3 linked regions of the Ovis aries genome follow. The main gene of each other region encodes a partner of the protein of the gene in region 2 in a complex. Links are inferred from orthologs where the notes say so. Each region holds a gene or a part of one and is shown on either strand. Other genes may lie near its edges. The genes, in order: ARPC5, ARPC3 and ARPC2.

Region 1 (7,934 bases), on a different chromosome or scaffold from region 2:
TGAACCAAACCAGGCTATGTGCACAATAAATAAAATGTCTTAAAACCATATGGATCCTTTATTTCAGGAATAAGCACTCACTTGGAAAGTTAAAGTAGGAAAAATAATATTACTTAAAATAAATTAAGTGCCACAATCAATAATAAAAATTTGGAATTTGCAAGAAAGAAGAATATATTTTCCAATTAAAAGATTATGAAGGACTGGTTTCTTCACATACACTCATATACACACAAAGAAATTTCTCTAAAGCTTTATATAGAGTTGACTATTAGCTAATGAAGATGGGAAGATAATTAAAAACCTCAACCTCTAAATATGATTCCAAAATTAACTTGTCAGATTAATTCATTGGCTAGAAAGGCGTTGAGCACCCACTGTGGACTAGGTATTTATTATTGTGAGACAAAAAATATGCACTGGAAAAGGACATTTTAAACATAATTATATCTGAAATGTAATATGCATTATGTGACTGAGAACTAATTAATTATATTTAACACATTTAACACACCCAGCATAATTCAAAACAATTATACCCTTGAACAACTTGAGTTTTAAAATTCCCCTCATTATTCCCTTAAGTTGATTTCCACTCTGGTATTCTTTCCCAGTTCTAAAAAAAAAAAAAGAATAAAGAAATTTCTTAAATAAGCCCTACTTATTTAGAATAGAAATGGAAGAGAAGGGATGTATTAGTTCTTGAATTCTTGTTTCCATTTGCTCTCAAATGTGCTTCTAATGTTCAATTTTCTCTTCAGAGAAAATCGTGACTTACAAAAACAAAAAGTACAACCATCTTTAGCATTTAAACAAACATATTATTCAGTTCTTACTAAAGTCACCAAAGATTGAAACTCAGAAAAAAACATTTAAAAAATCTTTATTCTAGGTTATGTAATGCCATTCACCATAGTAATGATCTGATACTTTGGTATAAGACTTTTTAAAATATATATTGCCAACAGGTAGAAAATTTTCCTTGGCTGTCTTAAGACAGCCTTTGAGGGAGTTTTCAGCAGTGTATTGGCTCATAACTTGAGTGGTGATTTAAATAAATGTCACTTCTATCACTTAATGATAATCTTATTGAGGGTACTTTAACTGGGAAAAGAAAATGCCATGTTGCTTCTTCCTCCCAAGAAAAAGGGGTGCATTTCATTCTGGAAGTATCTACCTACCATCTAACTGTCTACCTATCTATCTCTACATACATATGTATATAGATACAAATTGATATAGATACAGCTATATATACACATATGTATATATGTCCAACAAAGGTTTGACTTTGAGATGTCTTCCTCTTCTAATTCATTATTCTGTGTGACGCTCAAACTGTACTGCCTTTCACATTTATTCATTCATCAATGAATAATTGAGTGTCTGAATGTACTGAGTACCCTCTGCATGCTCAGTTTTATGTGAGACGTAAAGGAAGATGCAATATGTATGCGCAACTGAATCACTTTGCTGTACACCAGAAACTAACACAACACTGTAAATCAACTGTACTTCAGTTCAAAAAGAAAAGAAAAGAAATAAGACAGTCTCTGCCCTCCAGAATTTTTCTCTCTCTTCCAGGGGCAATATATCACACAATATATCATTAAACAATTTATAAGACTAGTGCCAAAATCAATGGTACAGATAACATGCAATTTGCATTGAGGCAGACTTTTAGAGTTTCAAACAATTTCTTGTGTTTAACCCTCAGAACACTATTGTTAAGTACACATTATTAGCCCCATTTTAGCAATGAGGAACTTGACATTCAGAATTTTAAGTGGCCTGCCTCAATCAATAGGTTATGAGTGGAAGGAAGAATCAAGACTCAAGCCAAGGTTTTCTGATTATAAGCCAAGTGCTATTTTCAATTACAGTACAGAAAACCAAGGATTGAGGCATTTAACAGGGCAGCAGCCAGCCCTCCGGTAAAGGTGGAATTAAACTAAACCTGATAAATATCCAAATTAATTTCACTTTGCAAATATTTGTGCTTCAGTGTTAGACATAGCACCCAACTACCATTTCCTCAAATTTAGTGCTTTAGTGCTCTTACCTGCTCAGGGAGAGCTTTGCTCGCAGAAACGGGGGTGTCAAATACAATAAGACGCTGGCCTAGGAGGATCATATAAATCTTAAGCGATAAAAATAAATCTTAAAGATCTGGTTTCAACTAATCCTCACACATTTTGTTTCGCCTCAGAGCCAGAGTGTAACTCGCCCCTACCCTTTTCTAGCATTCTTACTCCAAATAACCACTTATTTTAAGATGTCAATGGCTGACCCTACCCCAAATTCCACAGGTTCATCCCAGTCCTGCCACCGGACCCTAAGCCCCTGCCCAGACACCTCCCGCTTCTCCCCAGTTTATGATACCTAGGTTCGAGTTCTGCAGGTGCAGTCGCTTGCCATTACACAGCACTGACAGATAAGATGTGACCTTTCGACTCCGTCCTTGGGGACCTCAAGCTGGCCGCGCAGCGTAGTTCCACAGCCGAGAAAGGGGCTTCCCGGCTCGGGAACGAAGCCACGGGGAGTAGACGGTCCGAAGCGAGGTCTCTGACAACTCGAACGATGCTGAGCGACTGGGCGTGCATCACTCCGCCCCATACTCCTGCCAACTGCAGGAGACTTGGTCCGGCAACCAATCCATCCCAGCTCACGGGTAAGTCCGTGCCAGCCGGACCTTAAGCGGGACCCCGATGACAGGCTGTTGACGGCGGCGGCGGCAGCAAAGCCAAGGCCACCTGCCCCCAGCGCCCATCGCCGCCAACCTAAGACCACCCCCCCCCCCCCCCCGAGACTGGACCGCAGAGAAGCGTTTCTATGGAAACCCCCTAGGGATCACGTGACGGACCCGGAGGCCCAATCGCCTCTTACCTCTACAGGCGGCACCGCTTTGGGCCCTCCCTCCTGCCCCGCCCCCTCCCGCCCCCGCCTCTGTCGCCCCGCTCCTCCCCTTTCCCGCAGAGAGTCCGCACATGCGCGCTGCATCCAGCGCGCTTCCGCCCCGGCGCGCCCGGCTGTGGGGCGCGTGGGGGCGGCGTAGGAGGGTCGAGGAAGGCGCGAGCCTGAGAAGGAAGGAGCGCGGCCAGCGCGCAGGCCCAGAACCACCCGAGACGCGGCTGCCGGCTACGCCTCTGAGCGGAAGAGGGAAGTGGAGGCGCCAGTCTGCGGCTTCCAGCTGGGGCTGGGCTTGCTAAGGTCGAGGCAGCGTCTAGAGGAGGCCTCGGCCGCCGGTCCGGAGCGGGGATGTCGAAGAACACGGTGTCGTCGGCCCGGTTCCGGAAGGTGGACGTGGATGAGTACGACGAGAACAAGTTCGTGGATGAGGAAGACGGGGGCGACGGGCAGGCCGGGCCCGACGAGGGCGAGGTGGACTCCTGCCTGCGGCAATATCCTTCAGTTCGCTGGCCTTCGCGCCCCACCCGACCCCACCCGACCCGGCCCCTCTTCCGGGACCCAGCTGCGGGCAGGGCGTGAGGGCAGGGACCCCCGCTTCCGTGGGCTCCCTGTCGTGAGTGGGCAGGAGGGCTCTTCTATTTCTCCCGAGACCCCCGGGTCCCGCCCTCGGAAACTTACCTTGCCAGCGCGCTGTCCACGCCCCCGATTCCTCAGGTTGCGCCGGGAGTTCTCGCCTCCCGGGGACCGGCGGGGACGGCCGCGCCCTCGCGGCTCTGGTGCTGGTCAGTCGGGGAGCTGCAGGGAGCTTAAGTGGTCCTCTCAGATCGTATTTATCGGGTTTTCATTAGAACCCACGTCCGATCGGGAGGAGCGGGCATTTTTCTTCAGTGATTTTCTTTTTATTGTGGTGGTGGTTTTGTTGTGGCAGCGTTATTTCACGCCGGGAGACATGGGGCGGCTTGCAGAATTGAGGCCCTTCTGTCTGTCTTTTTAAGCTTGTGGACGCCTTTTTTTTTTTTTTTTTAAGAGGAAGGGATTTGACAAAATACAGGTTGCACAGAGTTGGTTAACCAGGGGAAAGGGAATGAGTACAAAACTGCTCAGAAAGAAGCTGGAAGCGTTTTACCTGCTAGACGGAAAATGCATGTAGAGAATCCCTGGAAATATTTTAAATAAACGCCAAAGAATAACATAGGAAAAAGTGAATCATTTGTACAAAACCGAATCATTTTGTAATGATGGAATCGTTTCCGTTAAGTTAAAATGTGGCTGTCAGTTCCTGGTTTGGGTTTTGCATATTTGAATATTCATAACTTTGAGGGAGTATTTGCATGAGCTCTTTTTTCGGAAAAAATGTAAATGTTGCAATAACCCAGGCTGTCGTTTTAGAGATTGTCAATTACTGAATTCACTCATTTCTAATTATTCTTGGGTGTATTCATAAGATTAGGAAGGCTCTTTAGACTTTCCTCATCAGTGGCCTATTAAATTAAATGGGGAAATACATGAGTGAAAATATTTGGTAGCAGCCACAGCTGGTCTTACAGGCACCTAAAATACAGCATTAAACATTTATCAACATACAGATGTTTCTTTGATTTCCGTTACTTTCACAATCAGCTGTTGCTGTTTTGCATTATTTAACATACTTAAGTGTTTGGGGTGGAGGGGAGCAGTCTCATAAGTGAGCCAGTCTGCAAACGGGACGCTTCTCTAGAAGTCCATTAAGCCTTGAAAATAACAGCCTGCCACCAACCATAGTTTTTTTAGTCAGACCTTTTTCTTTAGAACATAAGTGGTGAAGATTATTCTGTGTAGAAACATTCTTCGTGATGCATAAATGATGTTTTGTGAGACTAACTTTTTTTAGGTGACGTGATGACTCTTCAATGGTACTGCTGTATCCCTATAGTGGATCTGCTTTTAAATCAATTCATCTTAAAAAAATAAATAAATAAAATAAATCAATTCATCTTGAAATATAAAGATACTGTCCCTTCTTGTCTCAACAAGAAGAGACAAGCCCTGATCAGGCACTACAGATGGAGGAACAAGTGAACTCTGTGAGGTTTTCCTTTTAGGGCAATGACTGTACATTCTGACAGTGTGATTGGCCTTCTGTTCCTCATTCTTGCTAACTCACTGGTGCTTTCAAAGGAAGACTAAATTTAATAGGTGTGGCCTAAAGCAGTTTGAATGACCTTTATGAAATATGAGAGAAAATATTAAAAAACAGAAAAATTAAGCTGCCACCTACAGGTCATTATTTTATCTTCTGTAATGCCTCTTAACATCAATATTGAGAGATTGCTAATGTATATCATTCAGATTGCTAGAGTAATCTGCCAGCACTTTTCTACCAGCATTTCAATTAATATAGAATATAATTCTAATCAAAGGATAGGCAGACAGTCTGTTTCATTTGGGGACCTAAATAATTCTGATATATATTTTAGAATTTTTTAAATGTCACTCTGGATAATGTTTGCACATGTGTTTTACTGGAAAATGAAAGGTTATTAAGGTGCTCAGTTAATAATTAGAGCCAAGGGTAAAACAGTTTTTGCCTTATTTTTTAAAAATTTAATGCTCTCTTTCATTTTCAGTATTTTATCTTTGATTGACATCCTTGAAACGAACATGTTGAATTTTCCAGTATTGAACGTAGCAACCATAGTAATTTTTCTTTCTATGCATAACACCAAATCTCAAGAACCAGTGGTTCCTGGGAGTTCCAGTGCTTTCCTGAGGGCTGCCCTTTGCTGCTATCCCCTTAACCTCCATCACAGGAAACATGACAGCTGCCCTACAGGCAGCTCTGAAAAACCCCCCCATCAACACCAAGAGTCAGGCAGTGAAGGTGAGTCACAGACAACACACGATCTGTGCTGGCGTCTCAGCCTTCTTACCAGAACCCTCCAAAGTGTCTCACAAAGTGTCAGCAAATGTCTTAACTGTTTGCCGTCTTTGACATAGAAGAGCTTACAATGTAGTTTGATAGGTGGAAAACCTATATAAAAAATTAGTGCTCCAAAATTGAGTTGTGATAACGCTGCGTGGTAGGTAGACTTAAGTTCTAATGACCGAGACATCTGTGTGTTTTCAGAGGAGGCCACTCAGGTCGAATTTGAGCAAAGGCTTGAAGAACAAGTGAAACTTTCACAAAATAAACACATGCTACTTGCTTTTGAAAGATTTTTTAAAATTCTACCATTCTCATAGAATTAAATTCTAATATTTAATTCTGTTAAATATTATTGAAAACTCAGAAATGTGGGGGAATGAAAATAATTATAATTCCATACCTGTAGATAATCATTACTTTTTGTTGTTGCTGTATGCTTATAGAGTTTTTCTATGAGTTTTTCTTTTCATTAAAATAGATAAACTGCTTTTCATCTGTATAGCAGCATACATGAACAGCTTTACTTGGTAATAAGTTTATTTCTATAATATCTTTTTTAACATCTGTATTTTGATAATCCTGCAGTTTAGTTATATATAAACTTTCATCATATATTTATTGACTTTTTTCCTGTCATAAATAGTATTGAAATGAACAATTCTTGGTAAAGTCTGAATTGTTTCCTTTGAATAAATTTCTGGAAGTGAATGGCTGGATTTTAGACTGCACATTTTTTTAAGGCTACATATGGTATTGCCATACTACCCTTCAGAAAAGTTGTAAAATTACATTGCCTCTTAACCATCTTTCAGTAATTCTTAAGAACCTATTTACTTAATTGTTTAAAGCCCAGATTAAATTTTTTTTCTTTTTTTTTTCAGATTAAATTTTAATGTTTAGTTCTGTTAAGTATTGTAGAAAACTCAGCAATATGGGGGAATAAAAATGTAATCGTCCATAATCCCACACCCAGAGCATTGATCCCCCCACTGTCCATAGCCATTCACACATCCTAGGAGCCCCAAGTATCTCCTTAGTTAAATACTAGTAAATAATAACTTAGGTAAATGCATTATTATCTAGGCAACATAATCTTTTATAAGAGGAAATGCTTCTTTGGTTTTTAAAAGTGAGTAACGTCATTGAAATTTCGTTTTACCACCTTCTGCTTTTTTGTGGGTGTTTTTTTTTAATCAGAGCGTGTGGGTGGGAGGTTATAGCTCTCCATACAAGGATATTTTTCTAAACGGATAATTGCATAGTCTTTAAACTGAAGACAGCAAAAGGTGGTAGAAGCATACTGTAAGATCATGACCGGCAGGAATGCAGAAGGTATCACTTTGTGTTGAATAGAAAGAGAAACATTGTTGAAAGGGGAAATTAAGTGTTCTGTGTACTTGGCTTGCTAGGTGAAAAGCAACTGCTGTTGGAGCAGTCATTCATCAAAGAAAAAGATCATTATAAATGAAGACCACTCTAATACCTATAGTCACTTGACTATAGATGTGAAATGAAAAATAAGTTTTAGAAACTTAAATTTTTATTTATTAATAACATTTCTGAAGGATGCATCAGGGTAGAACTATAATTCAGTTTCCTTCTTTTGGTCTATTTTTTTTAAATCAAGAAGTGAAATGTATTGATTTAATACATTGATAATTTGTTACATCTATCTGTAAGTAAACCCTTTCAGCTCTACCTTCAAATATGTCGAGACTCTGTCTGCTTCTGGCTGCCTCTGCTGCTGCCATGCCAGCCAAAGCCAGCCTGTCTTGGTGCAGGAACTTCCAAGCTGGCTTCCAGGCTTCTGTCTCCTGCTCCCCCGACCCTCCTGCTGCCCCGGGCTTATTTTCAATATGACAGCCAGCTGGTCCTGTTAAAATGTAAGTCAGATGACATCACTCTTTTTAGAAAGAAAGAAAGCGAAAGTGAAGTCGCTCAGTACCATAGCCTACCAGGCTCCTCCCTCCATGGGATATGTAAGTCAGATGACATCACTCTTTTTAGAAAGAAAGAAAGCAAAAGTGAAGTCGCTCAGTACCATAGCCTACCAGGCTCCTCCCTCCATGGGATTCTCCAGGCAAGAGTACTGGAGTGGGTTGCCATTTCCTTCTCCAGG
Region 2 (8,119 bases):
AGAAAAAAAAAAATCAAAGCTCAACAGTCAAGGGCTTTGGAATTAAATAACACACAATCAGGCTACTGAAACAAAGTCTTTAGAATTTCCAGAAAAATAGGCACATGGTTTATTCAGACAGCTTTATTGTCTTTATAAAAATTATACACGCTCATTAGAGAAACAAATGAATCAATACAGGAAAATAAAAAGGAATTGTCACCCTAATCTCGCTACCCAGAAATAACTATGCTCAGCATTTGGTGAACATCACTCCAGACATTTCTCAATGCATTTACAAAAACAGACTGAGACACAGACTAAATTTAATAAACTGCTTTCTTAAAAATATTTGGATGAAAAAAAAAGAAAAAAAAAAATCTGGATGGCCAAAAAGTTCATTCGAGTTTGTCCAGAAGATGTTACAGAAAACCCCAATGAACTTTTTGGCCAACCCAACACAAAGAATGCCATACAATTTTATTTGAACTTACATACTATAGCTTTAGGGGAAAAAACTCTCAGCTGTTCACTTAGGAATGTACTGGGATTCACACATACATCTTTCTTTTTATAAAAACTGACTTCAAATATGTACAATCTGCTCAAGGTGGCTAGAGACTGAGAAAAACCAGAAGTACTATTGCAACAAAGACAGATCTCATTACAAAATTTCTGTGGCTTTTTTTGGGTTTTCCTTTTTTTTATTTTAAAAAGGTCACAATCCCAGGGTCTTGATATCCGGCAGCTGGTTTTAGCAATGTAGAAACGGTTATTTTCATTTCGCAACGCTGACTGCTATCCCTCTCACACAGCAGAAATGCAGAAGCTTTTGTACTCTAATCCAGTTGTCTTTATCTTTGCCCATTCCCCTGCTGGAGAATTTTAACAGAACTCTTTTTTTTTACCCTCCTTTAAAAAAATTTTTTTGGACATGTGGGATCTTAGTTCCCTAACCAAGGGTCGAACCCACACCCCCTGCAGTCTTAACCACTGGACCACCACAGAAGTCCCCCAAAGAATTCTAACTCTAGACTTCTGTTCCCTGTGATCTAGTCTCTTATTTGCTAAAAAAGAAACTTCCTTCTATGATCCCACAGTACTTACAAAAAACAAGCTAGCTCTAGTGTCATGTTGCAGAGGAAGGGAAAGAGGCCAGCTGATAGGACTCAGGCTAGTTGATAGGATTCAGAACATAGAAGAGCATTTGGCATATATAAGGTGTTCAAAAGATATCTGTTGAATGTAAATAACTAGATTAATGCTAACAGTTACTTAGTCCATAGCACAGGCTTGTATTTCTCCATAATTCCAATTCAGTCCTATTCCAGCCCCCTAGGGAAGAGTAACAGGCTACTCTTAACTACAGAAATCATGAAGTTCCAGTTTCCTGCAGTCCCATTCTCTCTCAAGGGCCCAAGAATTGCAAAGGTGGTAATTAAAGTCACTTCACTGGTCAATTAAATCTTCTGATATACTATATGGTATTTTGGCACAATCTGGGAAGTAATCTGGTCAAACACTGATCCTTATTCTTCCTCTGCAAAAGAATAATGTCATTCTTTTACATTATTTTTCCTGTTTTTGGTGGCTTTTTTTTCCATCTCAGAACAAGATTGTGGTGACTCACCAAATTTATTAAGTTTACTGAGCTTTAACTGGTATTGAAAACAAAACTAAATTAAGAGGAAGTCAAGTCAAATAAACTGGCCAGAAGAATGGAGACAGGGTCAGTACAAAATTAGTTATCTAAACTATGGTCTTGGAAACCACAAATGGAACTCAGTGCAGACCCTTCCTGGCTGCAGGGAAACCATGTCTAATATAACACAAATTACACTGTTGGCAGAACATCTCAGAATGTCGTCAGAAGAGTCTCAGATAGTATCTGAAAAGAATGAGGCACTCTGAACAGAGGGAAAAAAAAAAAGCTCCAAAAAACAAGTGAGTGCCAAGAAAGAAAGCAAAAGATACAAAATTCAGAAAAGCAAGAGAAGAAATGAATAATGTTATACAGGACACTTAAGACTGAGGTATTGGTAAAAACTGGGGTCCTGAAGAATGGACAAAGGAAGCAGATTTAGATAAAGAAAGAGGTTAAAATACGCTTTGTTTTTTCCAGCTTGATGACACAGAAAGGATGGGGACACGATGTTTTATAGAGGCAGCAGCATTAGATTAGTAAGAACTGACAGTGATGATAGGAAGAGTGTTGAGAATTAAGCACATTTCCTCTTCTCTCTCAACAAAATATCCCAGAGAAACTAGCAGCAATAATACAGTTTCCTATTAAATGCAACATCTACCCAAGATCTGAGAAGGTGGAAAGCACAATATCCATCAAGCAAATAGAAAATACAAGAGCAATCTGAGATTTCCCTGATGTGCTAACATCAGAGGGTTTCATACCAAAATGTGAAAATAATGGAAAGGGGTTTTGACTTACTTTCTCTAGGGGCAGGTCCTTTGAACTGACTTCTGATAGGCAATAGTGCCATGTTTCCAATGAGTTTGGTGTCAGGGTCCATGAGGGAAGAGTGGTAAGCCTGTAAGGACAAGCCAGGTAAGAACACAGAAGCAGAAAGAGAGCAAATGTCACTGGGGCAAACAAGTACACTTCCCCAAGGAAAAAAATAATTCATCCAAGATAAACTGGCTCATGAAAACTATCAAAGTTTCAGGAATTCTGAGAAAATTTGAGGCAAGCTAATTGTTGAACACAGCCATTATTAAAAATAAAGTTATAGAAATTTTCAATTAAATAAATTATATTAAAAACAAAGGTAATAAATATTTGACACTTTCATTATTTCCTATTTTAAAATTATTTTACCAATGTCTGTGATCTTAAGGTTAGTTATGCCTTTTGCACCTACGGTGGAAACACTGTATGATAAGGTGCTACTGTGCTTTCCTTCCAATTTCACATCTGGTGACAGAACATTGGTAACTGGTGAGGTATTCACACTATAGAAATAGGCAAACACTATATAAATCAGAGGTACCCAGCAACCCAGCTGGTGTTAAAACCACAATCAAAGAACTGGCTCTTCAGCTCTGCCACTTTCTGGCTTTATGCCTTAAGACATCACTTTTCTTCTCTTAGCCTATTTCTACATTTGTAAAATAAAAACATATATACTTGTTTTAAGTGGGTGGATGTGAGTTAGCGGAGAGAGGAAAAAAATCACATTTATGAGAACAATTTATAGGCCAATTTCTAGTTCGGCATTTTACAAGATGTCTGGCTTTTTGTAAGACAACATGGGCCCCAGTCATTTATTCATCAAAAGATTACTAAGTACCTTCTGTGTGCAAGGCATGTGGAGATATTGGCATGCAAGACCAGCCCTGGCTCTGTCAGGTGAATAGAGGAGACAGAAAATAAGTAAGTCATCACAGGGGAGGTCAAGGGTGCTCTTTGTGCACCTGGAATGATGAGTACAAGGCATTAGGGTTCTGGCTTAAAATCTGGCTTTATCAAGATTTACTAGCGTGCTTATGTATTTAAGGGCTTCCCTGGTGGATCAAATGGTAAAGAATCTGCCTGCAATGCAGGAGACCTGGGTTCAGTCCCTGGGTTGGGAAGATCCTCTGGAGGAGGAAATGGCAACCCATTCCAGTATTCTTGCCTAGAGGAGGAGCCCAGGATTCTTGCCTAGGACAGAGGAGCCTAGTAGGACCCATGGGATCCCAAAGAGTCAGACTCAATCGAGTGACTAACTTTAACTTATGCGAAAATGGATTTAAAATGGATAACCAACAACGACCTACTGTACAGCACATGGAACTCTGCCCATTGTAATGTGGCAGCCTGGATGGGAGGGGAGTGTGGGGAAGAACAGATACATGTATATATATGGCTGAGTCCCTTTGCTGTTAACCTTAAACTATCACAACATTGTTAAATCTACTACACCCCAATACAAACACACAACACACACACACATACTGGTGTGTTACACACTAGTGTGCAACTTTGGGCAAGTTACTTAACTTCTCTGAGCCTCAACTTTCTCCTCTGCAAAATGAAAAACCACTAACATATCCACTTCATAATCACTCTGAGGATTAATTAGGGAATAATTTATACAAACTGTGTAGCTCAGAGTTGGCCTGACATGCATCAGGAGTCAAATGGTAGCTATGGGATTCACCAAACCTTAACTATGGTTTACTCCTTTTTATTACCGATGTGCTTCACCTAACGCAGCCCCTTGTCTCACCTGCACTAGCTATGCTGTCTTATTACCTTCATGGCATTTGCCACTATCTTAAACAATCCCCCCATTTTATTCACATTCACAGATTATGTCTCCTCATTAGAATGTAGACTCCTTAAGAATAGGGACTTGTTGGCCTTATTCACCGCTGTAATAGTGCTTTGGCATGCAGCAGATGCTAAACATCACATGTTACTGAACATGCTTTTTCCTCATCTGCAAAATGGAGACCATGATGGTGATAAATCTACCCGTGACTGTCAGAAATTAAGAACAACCAAACCACCATCAATTTTAACTCCTACTCTGATGCACATTAAACAAACATGTGGAAACTAGGCGCGGACCTTGCACCTGCTCTGAGAGCCCTAAACCCAGCGGCTCAGGGGTGGCAGCCACTGCCGGGGCGACAGGGGAGGAGGAGTCAGGGAAGTGGGGTCGGACAGGCGACAGGCAGCATAAGGGACCCGCCTCCAGAGGCAAAGGAGGAAGTGGGCCTACAGGGAAAAAAAAAAGAAGCCGGGCCCTAGCTGTGATATGAGAAATTAAAAGGGCAGCCCTTGCCTTCACGGCTCTAGTGAGGCTTTGGGAACCCCGCTGGAATCGGGGGGACGGGCAGAGGCGCAAAAAGCGATAAAAAGGATCAAGCTTGGAGAGGAGGGGGCAGACCTGTGGCAGTCTCCTCAGCACGCCCCGGGTCTCTGGCCCACTCTGCCATGCCCTGTTCCTCCACGGCCGGCCGACATCCCCGGGCCGCCCTAATCCCACAGAGGCCGGTCCCTCTCCTCTGGCCTTTCCCCTTCTCAGGCCCCTGCTTTCTCTCTGCCCTCCTCGGCCTACTTTTCTCACCGCACGCAAGACTTCTCGCGACTCTCTCAAATCCCCGCCGTCTCCCGACACCCCCACTTTGGCCCACTTACCGGCATTTTGGAGGCGCCCCGGTTTCAAACCCAACGAAGAGAATCTGGGTAGAGATCGGCGGTTCCGGTCTGGCAGCCCGGGCGGGGTAGGCGGAAGTGAGCCGGAAGGGGAGGGCGAGGGCAGGACGCCGCGCTTCCGGCCTCGCAGTATGTGGCTAGCCGCTGCAGCTGCGCGGATCCGACAGGGCACCAGGGGGCGCTCGAACCCTAGGCAGGGGCTCTGAGTATCGCGCCTGCGTGAAGTGTGGGCGAGAATGAGGTGGATTTCGGGGTTACAGAATCCTAGATATATCACCTCTTTCGTTTTTTCTCCAAGACCACCTTTTCAGTAGCATTCCCTGGGTCATCCTAAATTCAGTCCCACTTCACTGCCCTTTCCCTCAGTTCTTATGATTCATGTTTTACTTTTGGGTTTTGTCTCTGTCCATTCGTATGAACGTCAAAAATGCAAGGACTGTCTGTTTTGTTCACTGCTTATATCCCTACACCTGTAACAGGACGGTACAAGGTAAGCATCAATAACATGTGTTGAGTAAGAGAAGGAACTCAGTCCACTGATTTTAAAAAGGAAAAAATGATCACAGAAGGGATTTGTGTACTACTCTTGTGTGATTACGTACTGCGATTCTTTGTGTAATGGTTGAGAAAAAATTGGTTTGAATCCAGCTCCAACATTTATTGGCTGTGTCACCTTGGCAAGTTAACCTCCATACCTCAGTTTCCTCATCTGAAAATGGAGATAACAGTGATTACCTGAGTTTTGTGAGGAAATGAATTGCATGGAATGTGCTTAGAACTTACATGCCTGGAACATACTAAAAGCTAAGGAATTCTTAATCTTTACCGGAAAGCACCTCAGGTTAAAAGCCAAGTTCACTGCTGCTTCTGGCCATTTCTTTTGCCAGTCCCACAGAAGGAATTACTTTGTCCCATGTTCCCACAATTGATTTCTCATTTATATTTCTGGCCAAATTTTACCTTTTAGGAGGAGACTTCCTTGGTGGTCTCAGATGGTAAAGATAGTCTTCCCTGATCGAGCTGATCTACTGGGCCCTTAAGACTAATTATACACAAGGAAACCTCTAATGAGGGTGACTGTGGGGCTACTTTGCTCCCATCAAAAAAGCCTCCTCTTGTGTGTTAGTCACTCAGTCGTGTCCAACTCTTTGTGACTCCATAGACTGTAGCCCACCAGGCTCTGCTGTCCATGGAATTCTCCAGGCCAAGAATACTGGAGTGGGTTGCCATGCCCTTCTCCAGGGGTTCTTCCCTGGAGAACCCTGAACCCAGATCTCCTGAATTGCAGGCAGATTCTTTACCATCTGAGCACACACCAAACTCTCCATAAGGCTAAATGAGGGAGGTATAGCTCAAGCAGGATGAGGAGGGCAAATGAAAAGGTGTCTTATTTTTCTGACTCTCTCACATGACAGTAACATTAGATCAGGGTGTTTTTGCCCTTTGCATACTCGAGGGCCACAGAAAAAAGAAAAAGCAAGAGATTTCCAAAAAAACATCTACTTCTGCTTTACTGACTACGCCAAAGCCTTTGACTGTGTGAATCACAACAAACTGTGGAAAATTCTTAAAGAGATGGGAACACCAGACCACCTGACCTGCCTCCTGAGAAATCTGTATGCAGATTAGCATAACTGTAAGCAACAGTTAGAACTGGACATGAAACGACAGACTGGTTCCAAATAGGGAAAGGAGTATGTCAAGGCTGCTTATTTATTGTCACTCTGTTATGTATATGCAGAGTACACCATGAGAAACGCTGGGCTGGATGAAGTACACGCTGGAATCAAGATTGCAGGGAGAAATATCAATAACCTGAGATATGCAGATGACACCACCCTTATGGCAGAAAGCAAAGAACTAAAGAACCTCTTGATGAAAGTGAAAGAGGAGAGTGAAAAAGTTGGCTTAAAGCTCAACATTCAGAAAACTAAGATCATGGCATCTGGTCCCATCACTTCATGGCAAATAGATGGGGAAACAGTGGCAACAGTGACAGACTTTATTTTTTGGGTTCCAAAATCACTGAAGATGGTGACTGCAGCCATGAAATTAAAAGATGCTTGCTCCTTGGAAGAAAAGTTATGATCAACCTAGACAGCGTATTAAAAAGCAGAGACATTACTTTGCCAACAAATGGCCATCTAGTCAAGGCTATGGTTTTTCCAGTGGTCATGTATGGATGTGAGAGTTGGACCATAAAGAAAGCTGAGCACTGAAGAATTGATGCTTTTGAACTGTGGTGTTGGAGAAGACTCTTGAGAGTCTCTTGGACTGCAAGGAGATCCAACCAGTCCATCCTAAAGGACATCAGTCCTGAGTGTTCACTGGAAGGACTGATGCTGAAGCTGAAATTCCAATACTTTGGCCACCTGATGTGAAGAGCTGGAAAAGACCCTGATGGTGGGAGACTGAAGGCAGGAGGAGCAGAGGATGACAGAGGATGAGATGGTTGGATGGCATCACCGACTCAGGGGACATGAGTTTGAGTAAACTCCAGGAGGCCTGGTGTGCTGCAGTCCATGGGGGTGCAAAGAGTCGGACACGACTGAGTGACTGAACTGAACTAGGACTTAGAAGAATTCCCTAAGAAGCCCAGTCTGTCCTCATGTTGTCTACTACTGATGTTCTCCTAAGTGCCCCTGTGAGAATTAGCTCACACCAGCAGATTATGGTGCCAATACCCAACTCTCGCCCCCAGCTTGGGCCCCCAGGCACATTGCTATCAGTTACCCCTGATACCTATGGCTCCTCACACTTTACATCTTTAATGAAAATGGATCAAGTTTGACACTGTAGGCGTACTTCTGCTATCCAGGCCCAAGAATGATTAAAAACTTAACTTGAGTTGCAGGTTTTCTACAGGGACTTGATCTGCATCAGTAGGAAGATCCAACACCAATGGAACCTAGACCTGCTGTGAGGATTAAATGAAAGAGATTCTGCTTTCCATTAGCAGTGTCTGGGTTATTAGCGGGT
Region 3 (6,286 bases), on a different chromosome or scaffold from region 2:
GGGTTCTCTGTCCTTTGGCGCCTATTGGGTTTTTTTGCTCATTAGACCAGAGCTCCAGCCGTGATTTACTTACCCACTTTCCCTCTGGAAAGATTGACATCCACCCCTCTCACAGTTTGCTTCAGCCTAGTGAGCTGGTTCATTGGTAACAGCTGACAGTTTAGAATCGCAGCTTACACACACACTGACCCTGACAGCACTAAGATGTCCCCTTTTCTGGAGTTCTGCAAGCCACCATAGTGCTGAAGACGCATCCGTTTATCGGAAATAAGCAGGCTGATTAACCAGGTTTCCTTAAGTCTAGTCTACATGCTTTTTTTTTTTTTTTTTTTTTTGGCACGTTACTCTCTCTGAGGTTGGGACAGCCTGTTAACAGTTTAATTAGCAATGTCTCTCTTTGTGGTACATAAACTGATGGTGAACTTACAGTCATTAGCATCTCAGAACCCCTGCAGTATAGTTACCTCCTGGCCTGGTGCTCTTTTCTCTTGTCTCTCTTTGTTTCTCTTTGTCTCTCTTTGTGGTACGTAAACTGATGGTGAACTTACAGTCATTAGCAGAACCTCTGCAGTATAGTTACCTCCTGGCCTGGTGCTCTCTTCTCTTGTCTCTCTTTGTTTCTCTTTGTCTCTCTTTGTGGTACATAAACTGATGGTGAACTTACAGTCATTAGCATCTCAGAACCCCTGCAGTGCAGTTACCCCCCCTGGCCTGGTGCTCTCTTCTCTTGTCTCTCTTTGTGGTACGTAAACTGATGGTGAACTTACAGTCATTAGCATCTCAGAGCCCCTGCAGTGCAGTTACCCCCTGGCCTGGTGCTCTCTTCTCTTGTCTCTCTTGGTCTCTCTTTGTGGTACGTAAACTGATGGTGAACTTACAGTCATTAGCATCGCAGAGCCCCTGCAGTGCGGTTACCCCCTGGCCTGGTGCTCTCTCCTCTTGTCTCTCTTGGTCTCTCTTTGTGGTACGTAAACTGATGGTGAACTTACAGTCATTAGCATCGCAGAGCCCCTGCAGTGCGGTTACCCCCTGGCCTGGTGCTCTCTCCTCTTGTCTCTCTTGGTCTCTCTTTGTGGTACGTAAACTGATGGTGAACTTACAGTCATCAGCAGAGCCCCTGCAGTGCGGTTACCCCCTGGCCTGGTGCTCTCTTCTCTTGAGGGCAGGTGGACCCACAGCGGTCCCACCCTTTCCTAGGTGGCATTTCTTTTCGTTTCAACAAAACCTGATGCTCAAGAACTTTGCTGATGCCGAGATCACTGAGTAGGATAGATGCAGAAGATAGAGGGGATTCCCAGAAGCCAGAGGGAGAGGCGTGCAGGTCTGCCCAGGTGTGAAACTGAGTGACTGACTGCACAGGACTTCATGGGGTCAGGCAGTGGCAAGGGCTTTTCTCAGCCCCCAGCCAAAGCAACTCATCCTGCCATTCCTCCTCAGGAATGCTCAGGTTCTTGTCCCTTCCTGTTTGGTGTTCACCACAGACTACATGATCCTCTATGGATCTAGTTTCTCTGAAAGCTTACTCTGCTTCGGCACCAAGGTCCTGCAACAGGCAGGCTTTGTTCTCTAATCCCCATTGCTCCAGAGTCCACCCAGGTAGCCAGTTGTGTCGTTTTCTAGAGAGACTTCTGAGAGGCAGAAGCTAGTAGATTTCACAGTGCACGGCCGGAGAATCCAGACCCGGAATGAACGCCAGGACCAAGCCCTTTGCCGAGGGAGCCCTGGTTTTTGGCCATGGTCTCCTCCATTTACACTTACTGGCAGAAAACCCTAATGAAACAAGTGGACGGTCCCAAAGCAGGGCAAGATGGGAGCTGACAGTAGGCTGCTGGTCTTTCCACCCTTTGGCATTGGTGTAATTAGACCTTGACACCTTGTCTGTGCCCCCACTCAGTGCTGTTCCCTCGCCATACCAACGCCAGTGCTCGAGACAACACCATCAACCTGATCCACACGTTCCGGGACTACCTGCACTACCACATCAAGTGCTCGAAGGTGAGTGAGAGCAGCCTCGGCACCGGCGCTCTGCGCCATTCTCTCCACCAGAGCTCATGGCATAAAGTCCTCTCTGGTATAGGCTATTGCTAGGAACTCTACAGAGATGGTTCTAGAGGCTTTGAGTCATGGCCTTTCTCCATCTCTCTCACTCCATAGCAGAGAGGTGAATATATGCTTGCTTGCACAGCCCTATGTCAGCCCCAGGGTGGATGTTCCCAGACCTTTCTGATAATTTCTGCTACTTAGAGCAAAGCTGTCTTTCTGGAACATGACTCTGCTTCAGTACCCATTATGTTTGCCTCCAGGCCTATATTCACACACGTATGCGGGCAAAAACATCAGACTTCCTCAAGGTGCTGAACCGTGCACGCCCAGATGCCGAGAAAAAGGAAATGAAAACAATCACGTGAGTAGCACCATCCTGCAGCAGGACTGCCTTCCTCTCCTAGGCTTACCAAGGAGGTCATGGGTGTCGGTGACCCAGGTGTCTGGGCAGTGGCTGCAGGTGAGACAGGCAGCGGGGCGCCTATAGCTGCCTGGCAGACTAAAGATGGGACAAACAGGTTTTCACATCTGAATGGGCCTCCTTGTTTCCACATCTCTGTGATCGAGGATAGTGGCTGCTAGAAAGAAACAGGCCTTTTTGCCAAGATGAACTATGTTCTCTTTGGGTCTGAGTTGACAGGCCTATCTTAACTGTCTTGATATCTTGTAGAAATGGAATAATCTGCTTGAGGACATTTAGTTGCATAAATAGGCCTGGAACTATTCCAAAGCATTCTTTTTCCTGGTCCAAGTCTTGGCAGGAATTTTGCCTAAAGAGGAGGTCGGCTTTATCTGAGATAGAGATGATGAGGAGTTCCTAAAGGGTGCAAGACACTGTCCTCAGTAGAGCAGCATGGTCCGGGGCCTGGGGGTTTGGTTCTGTGCCAGGTGCCAAATCTTGGAACCCCCTCTGGTAAGGTTTAGGCCATCCTGTTCTCCAAGTAGAGCAATGGGTGCTGGTCTCCTATCACTTGTTCCCATTGAATTAAATGTCTTGAGGTGAACTAAGCCTCCCCACAACCCACACAGCCATTTCCAGCACCCCACACTCTTGGGATAACCTTCTATAGGTATGTTGTGCCTATGCCTTCAGGCTCCTTCCCTTGGCCTCTTATACCAAGCTAGTTTTTGTTGCCATTTAACAGGATGAGAGAGGGTCTGACTCTTGGGTGCCTGAGCAGAGTGCTTATAATCTCAGAAGCATCAGACATTTATACAGAGCAGTGTAAGTCACCCCTGCCTTCTATACTTGAGAGGCTGCCTGTCTCACTAGGAAATTGATCCCAAAGACCTTTCTCTAGAATAGCTCTTCCCACTGCCCAGAGCCAGCAGTGTTCAGTCCACAGCTGGATCCTCTGCTTAGAGAGAAGTGCCCACGTGCCATGGCAACACAGTGGCAGCATCGTTCCTTCTACTGTGCAGCTTTATGGCACAGCCTAAGATGGGCAGAACTCGAAAGGTAGGGAGGCAAGGAGGGTGTGTCTTGGGGGCACGTGCTCTTGCTGCCCTGCAGACTCTTACCTCCATCATGGAGTTGACAAGTCTCCCTTTTCTTTCCCTGCTTGCTTCTCTCACTCACACCATTTTGGTGACCCTGAGTGTGAAGCAGCCAATTTTGTGCCACTTTCAGAGCCCCGTTCAGTAGAGGCCAGGAGGTGAGCCAGCAGCCAGTACAGCAGAAGGCAGCCTGACCCGCCAGCCTGTCGCACACCAAACGAAGGGCTGGGCGTCATAACAGTCACGAACCTCTCCTGTCACCTTCAGCCCTGTAACTGCCTGTCCATTCAGGAGAAGCGCCCACCAGACAGCCACTACCCAGTGTCTCCCCACAGGGCTTCTCCCCTGGTTCCGTCACACAGCCCGGCAGCCTTGGAGTGTGGGGTTACTGCAAAGCAGGTGCAGTGGAAGGGCAGGAACAACTCCCTGTCCTGATGGGGGACTAAGAAAAGATGAGTCCTTGAAATGAGCCAGTCGTCCATAAACTTCCTTCCTGGAACTTAGGAAGAACAGCTTTGCCTTTTTCCGTCCTGTGATCTCTCTTTGGCAGAGGTGAGCCCCAGAAAGGAGAAGCAGGAGGTAAACAACCCTGAAAACCAGATTGAGTTCCCAAAGCTAGGCAGGAGAAGCCAGGACCCTTCTTCTGCTCTGGGTTCTTACAACCCTTCTGTGATCAGAAGCCAGCCATCAGCACTCCACAGAGCTCTGCTGGAATTGAGCTTTCTATTGGGGAATGGATAACAAAATATTTTAGCTTCATCTGTGGTAGGGTAAGACATTCCAGAGAGGAAAATCTTAGTTCCCGTAGTCCTCCGCTCTGGTTTCCAGGCTTCTGTGCCAGATAGGTACCCTCCATCTTTGGGAACCGTCCCCAAAGTTGGCCATTCTTAGAATGCTGGGTAGGACAGGACACCCCGGCTCCGGAGCCTTAAGCGAGGCAAGTGTTTTGTGACTGAGTGTAGTCACCATATGACAACACAAAACACGCTTAAGCTTGGAAAGTTTGGAGGGTTGCTGCTTGTGACATTTTGGCCCCATGGGGGAAAATTTAAGGAACTGCTCTCTGCTAGCCTGAGAAGGCATAAGCTGTGTTAGGAGGACCCCAAATTCTTTTACTCAGAAGAGGGTTGAGACCAATCTAAAATGCAGGTAGATCTAGGCCATGCAGAAATTGTGGGCAGGTGATTTGCCTGTCTAACTTGGTATATTTACTGTCCTCATGGGCTTATTACTTAGTACCCTGAAGTATTCAATAGGAAGAAAGCTGATGGGTTGTTTCTGCGAAAGCTGGACCGTAACCCTTGCCTGGAGTTCCACATACCTCTGCTTGAAAAACATTGACCCCCATCTCTAGTGCAGAGCGTGGGGTGGATGGGAAGGTGAGCAGAAACTAACCTTCAGACTTAATCTCTGCTTTTGAAGGGGGAAGACGTTTTCATCCCGCTAACTCTTGGGAACAGGAAGAGGAAGCGGCTGGCAACTGAAGGCTGGAACACTTGCTACTGGATAATCGTAGCTTTTAATGTTGCACCTCTTCAGGTTCTTAAGGGATTCTCCGTTTTGGTTCCATTTTATACACGTTTGGAAAATAATCTGCAAAAACGAGCTGTGCTTGCAAGGACTTCATGGTTCCCAAGAATTAAAAAAAAAAGAATTCCACTTGATCAACTTAATTCCTTTTCTTTATCTTCCCTCCCTCACTCCCCTTTCCCGCCCCTTCTTTTCCAAGCTGTTTTGCTTTGCAATATGTTACTGGTAATGAGTTGCAGGATAATGCAATCTTAACTTGTTTTCTCTAAGTATTTGAGTTCAAAACTCCTGTATCTAAAGAAATACGGTTGGGGTCATTAATAAAGAAAATCTTTCTATCTTACATGAGAATTCACTTGGTTTTGGACTGGGAGTCCAAAAGAAAAGGAGGGACGAAGGATACATCAGTACTGCCCTTGAACCTGCAAACGTGCGCTGGAGAGGCTTAGGTTCAGGTTCAGTAACCCCACCCCCACCCTCCCTGTAGAGGAGAGAGAGGCTCACTGGTAAGCTCTTGGTTGGCATTTCTAAGTAAACTTGAACATTCACCGTAAAGCTTTTTATTTTGTCTCCATCCAGTTCATTGTTTCAGACTGGTTTGAAACTGTCAGTGAATTGTGAAATCTGACATTTCCTCAACAATTATGAGGTATTTGTAAATTAAGCACCATTGTAAGAAACAGTGCTGAAATCCTGTAATACAATAGAATTGCCAGGAGGGAGCTGATGTTGACACGATCACAACCTTACTCATATTTCCCCAGTTGTACATGCGACTCATCTGTGTGTGTGTGTGTTGTGTCCTGTGTGTGTGTTTTCCACATATGTGACTTCATCTTCAATGTTTTAAAGTGGAATAGTAGATGCTGTTGTGTCATATATGCTGAGTACATCACTCCTATTATAGGTAAGTACTGATTCTGAAATATGTCTTAATTGTGGACATACTGACTAGGTTATAAAAACGTCTTTACTGTGGGTCATGGTCAGATTTGAAGGGACAGGTCGTTTAGTCATCAAAACTTCACTTTACTCTTTGTAAATGATATCCTGGAAAGCTCAGGATCAGTTATGTTCCCATGCCCTCAACAAACAAGTGCCCTGGAGAGTGCTATCCCCTTGGTGAGGCCAACCATGACCTGCAGTGGAGAGAGTTCACTGCCAAGTCTGCCCCGTGTTCTCCTGGGATGTGGCCTCTCATCACCTACTGCTGGTA

What was found.
Region 1: ARPC3 (region 2) and ARPC5 share a complex: the UniProt entries of both Homo sapiens proteins name them as parts of the arp2/3 complex. The link is inferred for Ovis aries from reciprocal best matches to the Homo sapiens genes ARPC3 and ARPC5.
Region 3: ARPC3 (region 2) and ARPC2 share a complex: the UniProt entries of both Homo sapiens proteins name them as parts of the arp2/3 complex. The link is inferred for Ovis aries from reciprocal best matches to the Homo sapiens genes ARPC3 and ARPC2.

What each region holds. Positions count from the first base shown.
Region 1 is NC_056065.1:64,120,287-64,128,220, reverse strand, and holds the start of ARPC5 (actin-related protein 2/3 complex subunit 5), read left to right. Parts: upstream 1-3,171; 5' UTR 3,172-3,258; coding exon 3,259-3,402; intron 3,403-5,698; coding exon 5,699-5,770; intron 5,771-7,934. UniProt on the Homo sapiens protein: Component of the Arp2/3 complex, a multiprotein complex that mediates actin polymerization upon stimulation by nucleation-promoting factor (NPF).
Region 2 is NC_056070.1:54,361,903-54,370,021, forward strand, and holds the start of ARPC3 (actin-related protein 2/3 complex subunit 3), read right to left. Parts: upstream 5,221-8,119; 5' UTR 5,129-5,220; coding exon of another isoform or gene 5,123-5,128; intron 3,337-5,122; 5' UTR 3,303-3,336; coding exon 3,285-3,302; intron 2,526-3,284; coding exon 2,426-2,525; intron 1-2,425. UniProt on the Homo sapiens protein: Component of the Arp2/3 complex, a multiprotein complex that mediates actin polymerization upon stimulation by nucleation-promoting factor (NPF).
Region 3 is NC_056055.1:220,289,492-220,295,777, forward strand, and holds the end of ARPC2 (actin-related protein 2/3 complex subunit 2), read left to right. Parts: intron 1-1,894; coding exon 1,895-1,995; intron 1,996-2,303; coding exon 2,304-2,404; intron 2,405-4,962; coding exon 4,963-4,987; 3' UTR 4,988-5,413; downstream 5,414-6,286. UniProt on the Homo sapiens protein: Actin-binding component of the Arp2/3 complex, a multiprotein complex that mediates actin polymerization upon stimulation by nucleation-promoting factor (NPF).